Kluyveromyces lactis: one gene and its partner. The protein of the gene in region 1 interacts with the protein of each later gene in a pairwise test. Links are inferred from orthologs where the notes say so. Each region holds a gene or a part of one and is shown in the gene's direction. Other genes may lie near its edges.

Region 1 (6,701 bases):
TTAATACTTTGAACAATAATTGTTCAGTTATTCAATTGATAGATTAGCACATAAGTAACGATATCATGGTAGCTACTTTGGAGAATTCACTAAAAGAATCTCAAATCTCCCGGAATCTGCAATCACTATATTTTCCCCTTTCATCATGATGCCATTTTGAGGTTGTTTCAGATTTAAACATCAACGGTCTTAAGTAATGAATAATTTTCTTCCCTTAAATGAAAACAGAGATAGTGATGAAATCAGGACAAAGTGTACATTTTAGGAAGTCGATGAGTAGGGTCCTGCAGTGACTCTGGAACCAGGGTGACAAAACTGTCTCTAGTATATCTATGATACTTTAATTCAGTAAATACAATTTATATATAGACTAGATGTAAGTCTAGTAAATAGAGATGAGATGATTATTGGGGTAAGTCGTCGTGAGATCAGTCATTAGAAAGGTGAGTAGATGATTCAATGATGGACAAGGTATTGTAACTTTTCATCTGTCTAATATGCGGCTTCGCATTTGACGACATTGTATCGTAGCAACCAAAAAGGGGAGAGACAATTTATGGTGAAGAACAATGTCAGATTAGTTTACAAAACCTAGTTCACAATAAATCATGTTTATAACAGGCGCAAGATCAACGTAAGAAAAGAAGATTGTAGCACGAATTATTGAGGTAGTTTTTGGGAGTAATGAGAAAATTCTGTATCGTTGTTTTGTTTGGGAAGAAATTAAAACGCAGGTAATCCGTAATGGCAGGCATCAGTAACCAGATAATGTTCTCGGCATTGAGAATAAGCATCAACGAAGTCTCATGGAGAGAGAGAGAATGAGAAGTCACAGATGAACATTCATGTTTTAAAACCGAAAAAAACAGTTATCTGAATAGAAACCATACCGTGAATGAAATGAATAAAAAACACTTGTATCTAAAAGGTGTTTTTTTATGATTTTGGTACTTTAATATTGATTGGTGGAAAATAGCAGATGCACTATACAAATAGTATCATCTTGTGAACCTTATAGCATAATATTGTGAAAGGGCAGTTTATAGGAATATAGTTGTCTTTCGAAAAGGGAAGAGTAGAGAGATGGGAATAAAAAAAAGGATAAACGCAAAGAAGTTAACTTTAACGTTCAATTACCTAATTCGTTCTTGCTCTAATCTCTGAAAGCAAAGCTCTTCTTAGCAAAATCCCAAGTATCTTCTTGCAATCTACCTCTTAGGGTTGGAGTTTCAGAACCTGGAACGTAGACATCCTCGAACAAGATGGACATCTTAGCTTCTGGAGCTGGGGCAGCATCAGCTAATTCGACTTGCTCATCGACGTACTTTCTAGCAGCCTTGTCGTAAGCCTTAATTTCATCTTCCGTGGCGATACCCAATTCCAATAAGTGCATCTTTAAACCTGCAATTGGATCGTTCTTAGATCTCATGTGTTGGATTTCATCTCTGGTTCTGTAAGTAGTACCTGGATCAGACATAGAGTGACCACCATATCTGTAAGTTTCGTATTCAAGAACGATTGGACCGTTACCGGAGACAGTCCAGTCCTTAGCGAACTTGGAAGCTTGGTAAACAGCCAAGATATCCATACCGTTAACCTTCAAACCAGGAATGTATTGACCACGCTTGAAGTATTCAGTCATGGCTGAAGATCTTGCGGCAGCGGTACCCATACCGTACTTGTTGTTTTCACAACAGAAGACGGCTGGTAAGTTCCATAACTTGGCCATGTTGAAGGATTCGAAAACTTGACCTTGGTTAGAGGCACCATCACCGTACAAGGCAAAAGAACAAGCATCTTCGTGTTTGTATTGATGAGCGAAGGCCAAACCAGCACCCAATGGGACTTGGGCACCAACGATACCATTACCACCGTAGAAACCAGGGGCGTACAAGTGCATGGAACCACCCTTACCGAAGGACACACCAGTTCTTCTACCCATCAATTCAGCCAACACAGCTTGAACAGCAGCACCTCTCATGTAGGTGAAACCATGACATCTGTAAGAGGTGATGACGGTATCACGCTTAGTGATAGCGTTTTCAATACCAACGGCAATGGCTTCTTGACCGACAGAGGAGTGACAGAAACCTCTAATTTTCTTAGCCTTGTACAAAGCGTCACAGGCCATTTCCATTCTTCTAACGATAATCATATCCTTGTACATTTGTAGCAAATTGGACTTGGTGGTTTGATAACTTAATTCAGGAACATCCAAAAGATAACCTTCAAAAGAGGTTTCTGGCAAATCAATTTGAACTAGGTCATCATCACCTGGCTTAGTTTCATCAGCAACCTGGGACAAAGCACGGACGTTTTTAGAAAAGTTTCTAACCAATCTCAAAGAGCTGGACTTCCCAACCACAGAGGATTGAGCTTTCAAAGATAGCATGGTTTGCCTAATTTATTGTTCTTTTCGGTATTAACTACTATAGCGACCAACAATTAGAACACACAAATACACACTCAGCAGTAGTGATGGCAAAATATGTTGTATAGAGAAGAAATAAAGAAGAAGAAGCTCTGAGTTCCTGATTCTATATTAAAACAAAAAAAAGCCAACTAATGAACGATTCCTTGTTCCAAAAAATTTGACAAAAATCAATCAATCAATCAATCAGTCAGTCAATTAATCAATTGCTTGGCTCAGTATCACTGAAAGACCAAAAAAAGGTTCTTAATCACGCAACAACTGTTTCTCATCATATTCACAATTAAATCCGCCTTTAAATACTTGTGAACTTGGGAAAAAAACTTCAAAAAATTTCGTAGCCAGCCAGTCGGTATAGATAAGGGACTTGAAATAACAAGAAGTGGGTATAAGCAAGGTCAATTTTGCTCTAATTGGGGTCAAACTTGAACCGTTGGGTAGCTGATGATGCGGAGAGTATTGATATTCTACTTATTATGGGATATCTGACAGTTTCGTCTGGTGTAGGTAGAGTTTATTGTGCTGATTCAATTAGACAGACGGGATTGTTGTTAGAAAGAGTGGGAAAAGTGACGTGCACAGCGCGGTGTTTGGGTGGAACATGGGCAGCAGATCTATTACCCGGATAATATGCGGGTCATGAGTTCTAATGATACACATTACCCGAATATTAATACTTTTGGCGCACGTGATCAGAAAGTGATTTCTTTTTCATTCTCTTCTGATCGAGGTCCGGGTAATATTTTGGAAAATTTTTTGAAATATCTTAGTGCTGTGTGGCAGGAAAGGTTGTATCCAGGAAAGAAATTTGGAAAAAAAAAGTATCAGTGAAAACTTTAAAGCGATGAGATGAGATGAGGTAAAGAGAAACGAGGTACATACTTACATCATTATCATAGTGTATCGTTCCCTCCTTTGTATCAGAAAACAGCTAATACTAATAATTTGTGGATAAAATTATCCGTACTATGGCGTTACAAATCTCAAAGGAAGACACTCAGGTGTTATTGAAAGATAAGAATGTATTGATCGAACCAACAATTGAGAAATATAGAACTGCAGGTCAAATTGCTCAGACTGCTTTAAACTTTTTGATCAGTTTGATCAATAAGATGTATCATGAGAAGTCTATGGAGCCGCTACCGATTCATCAACTTTGTTTATTGACTGATTCGTTCATAGCCGATTGTTTAAGTACTAAGTTCAACAATAAGGTTAACGAGAAGGGAATCTCAATGCCAACTTGTATTGATATCGATGAAATAAACGAGAACTGGTGTCCTGAAGTGGATGACATCGAAAACTTGTCCCGTTGGAACCAAAAATCTAGATCTACCAAATCGATCGAGCTATGTAACGGTGTTACTTCTAGTTTGTCTGGGTTTTTGAAAGTTGGTGATGTCGCTAAGATCACTTTGGGTTGTCACATCGATGGGTACACTTGTAACGTGTCCCACACCGTGGTCATTTACCCAACCGTTCAGGATGCCCAATCTGGAAAATTGCTACCTGAAGCTGCTTTGCTAGGTGGTAAAGCTGATGCTCTAGCTGCCACCCATATCGCTGTTGAGTCCGTCACTAACTTATTAGCTGCTGCAAACGATTTGACCAAACTTCCAGCTGATTTCAACGCTACGAAGGTCACTGGTTCCTTGATTAGGACCGTAGTTGACACCATTGCTCAATCTTATAATTGTTGCGTTGTGCCTGGTTCTCGTATCAGAAGAATCAAAAGATTCCTTTCTGGTCAAAACGAAAATATCATTGTCGAAAGAGACTTCAAAGGTGTCATTTGGACTGAGTCTCATCAGGAAGCTGCTATGCTTGCTAGAACCGTCAATGAAACTGCTGTTGATGTCAAGCGTAAGAACCCATTTATCACCGAAGATACCGTGGTCCCAACAGATGATTTTACCGTTGTCAAGGGTGAAGTTTACATGATCGATTTGAAGTTGGCTCCATTGCAAGGATTGGAGCCAGGTTTGATCACTTTACACACTGTCGATCAATTCTCCGGTAAATCTGAATCCTCTGATGTGGTGGCTAGACCAGGTGCCATCTGCCGTGATTTTTCAAAGAGCCATGTTCTAAAGTTAAGAGCTGCTAGACAAGTGTTGACCAGATTGGATAAACAAGGTGTATACCCTACCAAATTAGCTCATATCGCTGATTCTTTCCCATTGGACGTACAGGAGCCTGATTTCGAAACCATCAAGCAAGAAATCAAGCCATTCAGATTAGGTCTTTCTGAAATTTCTAACAACTACCTAACAATCGACAGAGATGTCACCATCGTAAAACACGTTCCTTGGGCTAAGATCTTGGATCTAACAAACCCATCCGGTGTGTCAAGTTATGACGCCATGGCAAAGAATAAAGGTTTATACCCAGGTTTCGAGCTTCCTCTACCTAAACTAGGTTTGTCCAACCTACAGTTGAAATCCTTGCTAAAAAAACACTCTACGCCAGTTCCTGTGGTCCGTCAATGTGTCACTGTAGCCATCTGTGATGAAGAGTTGCTAAGAATCAGCGGAAACCTAAAATCTAACTGGGTTCATTCTGTTTACTCTATGGATACTGCAAGCAATATCGTTGCAGGTATATTCAAACTGGCTCAATTGTCCGAGGATAAGAGATTTGGTTTGAAGATCAGAGAAACTCAACCATGGAAAATGAAATTCTAATTTATTCATTACCAGTATTAACTACCTTCTTTGATAGAACTACTTCAACAGATAACAAATTCTATTTCATACACAAACACCCTTTTCGCATCTGCACACAATAACTCTACATTGATACACCAGTTCATATTATATTCAATACTCGTTTGATTTCGGTAGCCCAAGAGTCTTGTTCTTATGAGTCTTTATTCTTACCAACCAATTGCAACAAAAACAATGTATAAATAGCAACTTCTAAGTATCTTGTAGATCTGTACACTAGCAAAATCATAATAGAACTCAAGCTCTCAACTTTGTCATTAGTTCTTCTACTATTAGTGTGTTTGCTTCGGAAGGATTATCAAAACGTTCAAAATGATGGCGGCTAATTAGATTTTAGTATAAAAAGGATTTGGAGTCAGAAACCAAATCAACAAACCCAACTACCAATGAATATGACATAGCGAGATATCTAGTGCACATAACTAGGAGCGAGAAGGTGATCCTAAAAACCAATAACTTTGCATTTCATTCTACTTGAAACGTCCCATTCCATTTCTATTTAAGCTGTCATGTCTACAGAGACAGAAACTAAAACCAATGTGGTCAATATTGATGAGTTACAAAACTTCGGAATTAACGCGTCTGATATAACTAAATTGAAGACTGCTGGTATATTTACCGTTAACACTTGTTTGTCGACGACCAGAAGGAATTTGTGTAAAGTTAGAGGGTTATCGGAAGTGAAGGTAGAAAAGATTAAAGAAGCTGCCAATAAAATCATCACCATTGGCTTTATTCCAGCAACTCTGCAATGGCAGATTCGTCAAGCAGTTATGTCTATCTCTACCGGGTCGAAACAATTCGATTCTGTACTAGGAGGAGGAATAATGACAATGTCCATAACTGAGGTGTTTGGGGAGTTTAGGTGCGGTAAGACTCAATTATCCCATACGTTATGCGTGACAGCTCAATTACCAAAAGAACTAAATGGACCTGAGGGTAAGGTTGCATATATTGATACAGAGGGTACTTTCAGACCAGAAAGAATCAAGCAGATAGCACAAGGGTATGATTTGGATCCCGAAGTGTGCCTTGAAAATATCTCGTACGCCAGGGCACTCAATAGTGAGCATCAGATGGAGTTACTTGAACAGCTTGGCGAGGAACTCTCTTCAGGAGAATATAGACTATTAATAGTAGACTCAATTATGGCCAATTTCAGAGTTGATTATTCAGGCCGTGGGGAATTGAACGAGCGTCAGCAAAAACTAAACCAACATCTTTCTAGATTGAATCGTATCGCTGAGGAGAACAATATCGCAGTTTTCATGACCAACCAAGTTCAAAGTGATCCCGGTGCTTCTGCCTTGTTTGCTAGTGCCGATGGTAGGAAACCTGTCGGAGGACATGTCTTAGCCCATGCAAGTGCGACAAGAATATTATTGAGAAAAGGTAGAGGTGACGAAAGGGTCGCGAAATTACAAGATTCGCCTGATATGCCGGAAAAGGAGTGCGTTTATGTCATTGGTGAGCGTGGAATAATGGATTCTGATGAATAAGCCACTATGGGTGGCTCGTAAGAAAGACATACTTTCTATCGATAG
Region 2 (5,407 bases), on another chromosome or scaffold:
AGTAGGGACGTCATGACTCCGTATCATAGTATTGATTGCTGGATTTTCCGGGATTTTGTTTCCCTGCCATGCGTATTTGAGGGATAATAGTATGATTTCCAAAATGTACATATTTCAAAGATGTCTTAATTTAGTATTGCGTATATAAAGGCAGCAACAATTACTGGGGTGACCTGACTTAATTAGACTGAAGTATTTAACTGAGTAAAAGTTCGAATTTTTTATAGAGGGGGACATTGACAATCAGTATCTTCAATTCATCATGTCTATGTTTAAAACCATCCAATTTCAACCTCGCGTAGTGACATTATTCACACACAAATTAGAATCATCTCATGCTCAAAATCTTCTAACGGCATTAAAATCGAACCACAAGAACAAAATCAACATTGAAATATGCCAGAAATTCCCTACTAGAGATCAATTGGAATATTTGGCAAAAATTGATAAGCCCGACTTAATGGAACAGATTCCTAAGACGGAATCTCTTTTGAAAAAAGCTGCTGAGGATCCACTATTTGGGTCACCATTGCAGAAATGTGTCGAGAATGGGTCTTGGAATAAACAGACGAGCTTATGGGTTGACTGGGAAAAAGCTGTATTAGGCACGACGGTTCAATCGTTGAAAGAGAAATGGTTACCAAAAAACTGATATGGGAGTATAATAATGATGATTAATAACAGTAATTAGGGTTTTAAAATATGTATGTAAAAGACACTTCACAAATTCATTCTGCTTATGACGTATTGTTGGGCAAGAATACCGAAAGTTAGATCAAGACCTTCGGATATCCATGGTTTCACCCAATCACTTGGGTCGATTTTTTCTGTGGATTCCTCATCGCTTAGTGCATCGGATTGTAACCATTTGGCCCATTTGGAGGGGTAACCTTGGGATCTCACTATTAGCAAGATATCATTACTTATGTCTTTCAAGATGACAATGAAATGGAAGTTGTTTTGTCTCGATGCGTCGATCAAAACAGTGTTAGAATCGGCTTCGGATGATCCGTCTTTCCCAGTAACCTCGCAGGCCAGAATGCTGACAAAAAGATCGCTTACTTTACTCACTGGGTTACTGGTTCTTCTCGATTGTTTCTTAGCAGTCTCCCACGTCTTGATTGCATTGTCAAGGTTGGCCAAGCATAATTTTTCACCGTCAACGGCTTTACCTTGGAAAAGGTTCAAGTTAACGTTATCATCCACTTTCCTGCCGTGATCCCATTCATCAGCAAATATTCTTATTCCACCTTGCACCTGTTGCGATAGTAATCTTTCGAATTGGTCTTCCACCTGATACGTAATCGTTTCCTCGTTCAAATTGTGTAAATCATGAACCAAATGAATTCTGATCACTTCATCCGTTTCACCAATGACAATCTTAGTCAATTGTGAAGTAAGCCCAGAAATGACATGAGACCCCTGCAATGCCGTTAATCTGGCCCCTATGTCGTTTATTTTCAAGTTGCCCTCTTGAGTAGCTATCTTCTCTTTCAATTGATTGGCTTGTTCTGTGGTCTTGTTCCAGAAACTGGATACTGTAGCAGAACCGCTAGATGACCACCAATTGGAAATTGACGCCAGTGGGTCCTGAACTGCCTCTTCACCTTCTTCTGCCACATGTTCTTCTTTTCCTTTCTGTTCACTCGGTTTCTCTTTACTGGCTGTCTCTTCTACAGGTTTCTCGTTCGATTCTGGCTTCTCCTCCGGTTTCTCTTTCTCTTGCTTCTTAGAGGATTGTGGCTTGTCCTTTTTGGACGGTTTCTTCTTAATATCCAGGTTACTATTTTCCAATTCGTCTAAGAATTCCATAATATCCTCATCCTGGCCGCCGTTCCCACTAACCTTACCCTTTCCCTTAGTGTTATTAGCAGTACTGGCTGGTAAAGAGTCTAAAAACTCTAGCACATCATCGGCATCACTAGTCATTTGGTGTTTTCTTTTTAAGTCTTTACTGTCGATAAAACTTGAATATTGATACGAATTGTTCAATCAAGAATCGATATATTCAAACTAGAAAATTATCGCTGAAAGGCAAGACAAAACTCCAACGGTTGAACTTAAACTAGCCTCCTAATCCTTGTGAACACAAGTATATAGTTTCTATCCTTTCTCTATTGTCATGGTTCCAACTACCGTGTGTTTTTTTCATGTATTGGTCCATTCTAAGGGTGGGTCGTATTTAAATATCCGGGTAACTATGTCACTTTCATTACCATGAAATAACGCTGGTATACATAAAGTGAGCAGTTAGCCGAAATGTAATGAGCACCGTGGCCTTTATCACCACCTATTCTTACCCCTTCCATAGATGGTGCTCTCCAGTACCAATGTCGGCATGTCTTGGCTTAAATCTTAGCATTTTTCATTAACTAATACCGTATCTATTTTGTACTGCCGTTTCTTTTCTAAAATTTTTCATCTCATCTCATCGCGAATCTGTTGAAAAGTTAATGCATCTCCATACCATGTACTTGATCCCCCGTTACTATTCACCTGTGCTAGCTATCTTGTTACTTGTTACTCTTAGTACTGGCTAGTATTCCTGGAACTACAAGTTAACGGTTAATCACAGTACTAAAATTCGAGATGCCATCTAAGAACTCCATTAACAGGCCAAAGCAAAAGGTTAACTTGAACCGTAAGGTTCATCAACGTGCTGCCAAGAGAGATGCTATGGAAAAGAAGGGTTTATTGGCACCAGCAAGATCTTCAGGAACATCTAAATCTGGTCAGTTGAAGAGTATACCATTGGATCTTTACAAAGGCGAGCATTCGACCTCTGGTGCTCTTACGACCAAGACTCTTTCGAAGAAAAGAGCAAAGAAGATCGAACGTAACTTGAAATACGTGGAACAAAGAAAACTATTAGTTGATCTACAATCTCAAAGTGAGGAAAACGGTGGTATGCAGATTGATGCGCCTGTTGTGAAGAAGGAGAAGGAAACCAAGAAAGGACAATTGGAAAAGATGAGAGAGGCTATTTCCACGGTGTTGGAAGATATTCAATCTCAAGGTTTATCCCTTCAGACAGGTTCTGGTACAACTCTAGGTGGTCAGTATTTCTTGTAGAGAGTCTTAAAAATCGTTAAATGGGGTTTGCATTGTCTATATAAACATTTTGTATACTAGGATAGATCTTAAACGGATCGTTCATTAAATATTATTCTGACATAAAAAAGAGTGCGTATATGTACTTAGGTACTTACTACTTTTCGTATAAACCTTTGGTCACTAATGCATCATTGACCTTGGTTTTCATAAATCCAATGACATCTGCTGGGTCGTGCGCGCGGAACACAGAGGTACCGGCAACAATGACATTGGCACCTGCCTCGGCAGCAAGTTCGACATTCTGTTTACCAAGACCACCATCGACTTGAATGTTCAAATTAGGAAATCTAGTTCTCAAGTCCTTCACTTTGCTCATCATATCGGCCATGAATTTTTGGCCACCGAAACCCGGTTCGACAGTCATTACAAGAGCCATATCCAGGGATGGTGCCAACTCGTACAACACATCCACAGGGGTACCTGGCTTCACAGAACAGGCAGCCTTCATACCATGCTTCTTAATTAGCTTAACCAACGCTACCGGGTCCTTTGTAGCCTCGTAATGGAATGTGAACTGATCGCAACCGATCCTAGCAAAATCTTCGACCCATCTTTCAGGTTCACTAACCATCATATGACAATCGAAGAATGCTCTTGGTAACTTGGTGTCTGGATCGTTGTACTTTCCGATAACTTTACGTAGCGATTCGACAACCGGTTGTCCCAATGACATATTAGGAACGAAGTGACCATCCATAATATCGATGTGTAACCAATCGGCACCAGAGTTAATCACATTGTGACATTCACAACCTAATTTAGTGAAATCACTGGCTAGAATAGATGGGGCAATAATAGCACGAACCATGTTAAAATTGAAACTTATTATAGTTTTGTAAACTGCTGACCTTAAACTCGAACAGGTAATGGTAAATCGTATTCTATAATGAGCAGAGCAGACCGTTAATTGGGTAGTTGGTTCTTGTTTGAAAAGAATTCCCTGCTGCTTTTTCTAATTTTATTGCATTCTTTATAAAACTGAAATTCTGATATCCAAAGAAAGCGACTATTGAGAGAAAGAAGAGGGGATCAGGATTACTTCAGAGTATTTTACAGCTCAAGATTCATTATATAATGTACCGTTGATATCAGGAGTGCTTTATTCCGAGTTTTTTTACCAGGAATTGGTACGATTTAGTCCTTTGAATTGGCATACGGTTGCAGTATTTGCATGCTTCCGTGATCTATTTTAATATGTAAGGAATATATAAGAAGAGCATTTTTTAGCCAGAAAATTTTCTTTCAGTAGGAAACGTAACAGCTTGGAACATCTGATCGTAGAGGTAGTGGGCTATTTGTGATACTTGGAGTGTTGCAGCAGGATATTTGAACTACATTAGCTGTATACATTTGAGTGTATTTGGCAAAATAGTAAGGATCACATCATAAAAATGTCCAACCCTATCAAGACATCGAGGTCGAGTAAGATCGATAATGCACCAACGCCTCATAACACACCAGCTAGCGTGCTTAAGGATTCATATTTAAGGAAGAAGCAACAGCAGCAGTCTGACCAGGATCAAGATCAGGATGACGATAGCGAATACAACGAGAGTCCATCTTTATCCCGGATCAATGAAAAGTTGGAGTTCTTGAACATAGACGAAGAAGATGAGGGTGAAGAAGAAGAAGAAGAGGAAGAGGAAGAAGGCGATGAAGAAGCTTTCGAAAGACTCCCAAAAGCTGTGAACAATAGGATCTTAGCCTTAAAGGCTATTCAGTCCGATTTGTTCGAATTGGAGAAGAATTTCCAGCTTGAAATGTTGGAACTTGAACAAAAATATCTGCAGAAATACAAACCATTACACGAACACCGTTACGAGTTGATCACAGGTGATAAGGAAGCCACTGAAGAAGAAATCAAACGCGGGGGATCTTTGGATGGTGAAGATGAGCATGAAGAAGAAGAGCATGACCAGGAACCGGAGGAAGGTGAGGAAGAGATCGTTGGTGTCCCTTGTTTCTGGTTGACAGCCATGGAGAACTTACCAATGGTTTCTCAAAACGTGACAGAAGCTGACTGTGATGTATTGACATACTTGACGAACATCACTCTAGAGTATCTAACTGAGGGTAAACCAGGCTTCCAATTGATTTTCACCTTCGATAAAGAGAACGAATTCTTCACTAACGAAACTTTAACAAAGACATACTACTACCAGTCCGAATTGGGTTACTCTGGCGACTTCATCTATGACCATGCAGAGGGTGAAACCATTAACTGGGTCGATAATGACCATAACGTTACAGTCGAAGTGAAAAGACGAAAACAAAAGAACAAGACTACTAAACA

What was found.
Region 2: the proteins of ARX1 (region 1) and ALB1 interact in binary tests that used the Saccharomyces cerevisiae proteins (3 or more experiments, as listed by UniProt). The link is inferred for Kluyveromyces lactis from reciprocal best matches to the Saccharomyces cerevisiae genes ARX1 and ALB1.

Annotation. Positions count from the first base shown.
Region 1 is NC_006042.1:1,097,120-1,103,820, reverse strand, and holds ARX1 (putative hydrolase), read left to right. Parts: upstream 1-3,399; coding exon 3,400-5,115; downstream 5,116-6,701. Other genes in the region: PDA1 (pyruvate dehydrogenase (acetyl-transferring) subunit E1 alpha), read right to left, coding at 1,154-2,392; recombinase DMC1, read left to right, coding at 5,667-6,656. UniProt on the Saccharomyces cerevisiae protein: Probable metalloprotease involved in proper assembly of pre-ribosomal particles during the biogenesis of the 60S ribosomal subunit. Accompanies the pre-60S particles to the cytoplasm.
Region 2 is NC_006041.1:1,343,595-1,349,001, reverse strand, and holds ALB1 (Alb1p), read left to right. Parts: upstream 1-2,589; coding exon 2,590-3,072; downstream 3,073-5,407. Other genes in the region: FMP46 (putative redox protein), read left to right, coding at 263-652; DUF5427 domain-containing protein MTC1, read right to left, coding at 721-1,929; ribulose-phosphate 3-epimerase RPE1, read right to left, coding at 3,209-3,922; histone chaperone NAP1, read left to right, coding at 4,506-5,407. UniProt on the Saccharomyces cerevisiae protein: With ARX1, involved in proper assembly of pre-ribosomal particles during the biogenesis of the 60S ribosomal subunit. Accompanies the pre-60S particles to the cytoplasm.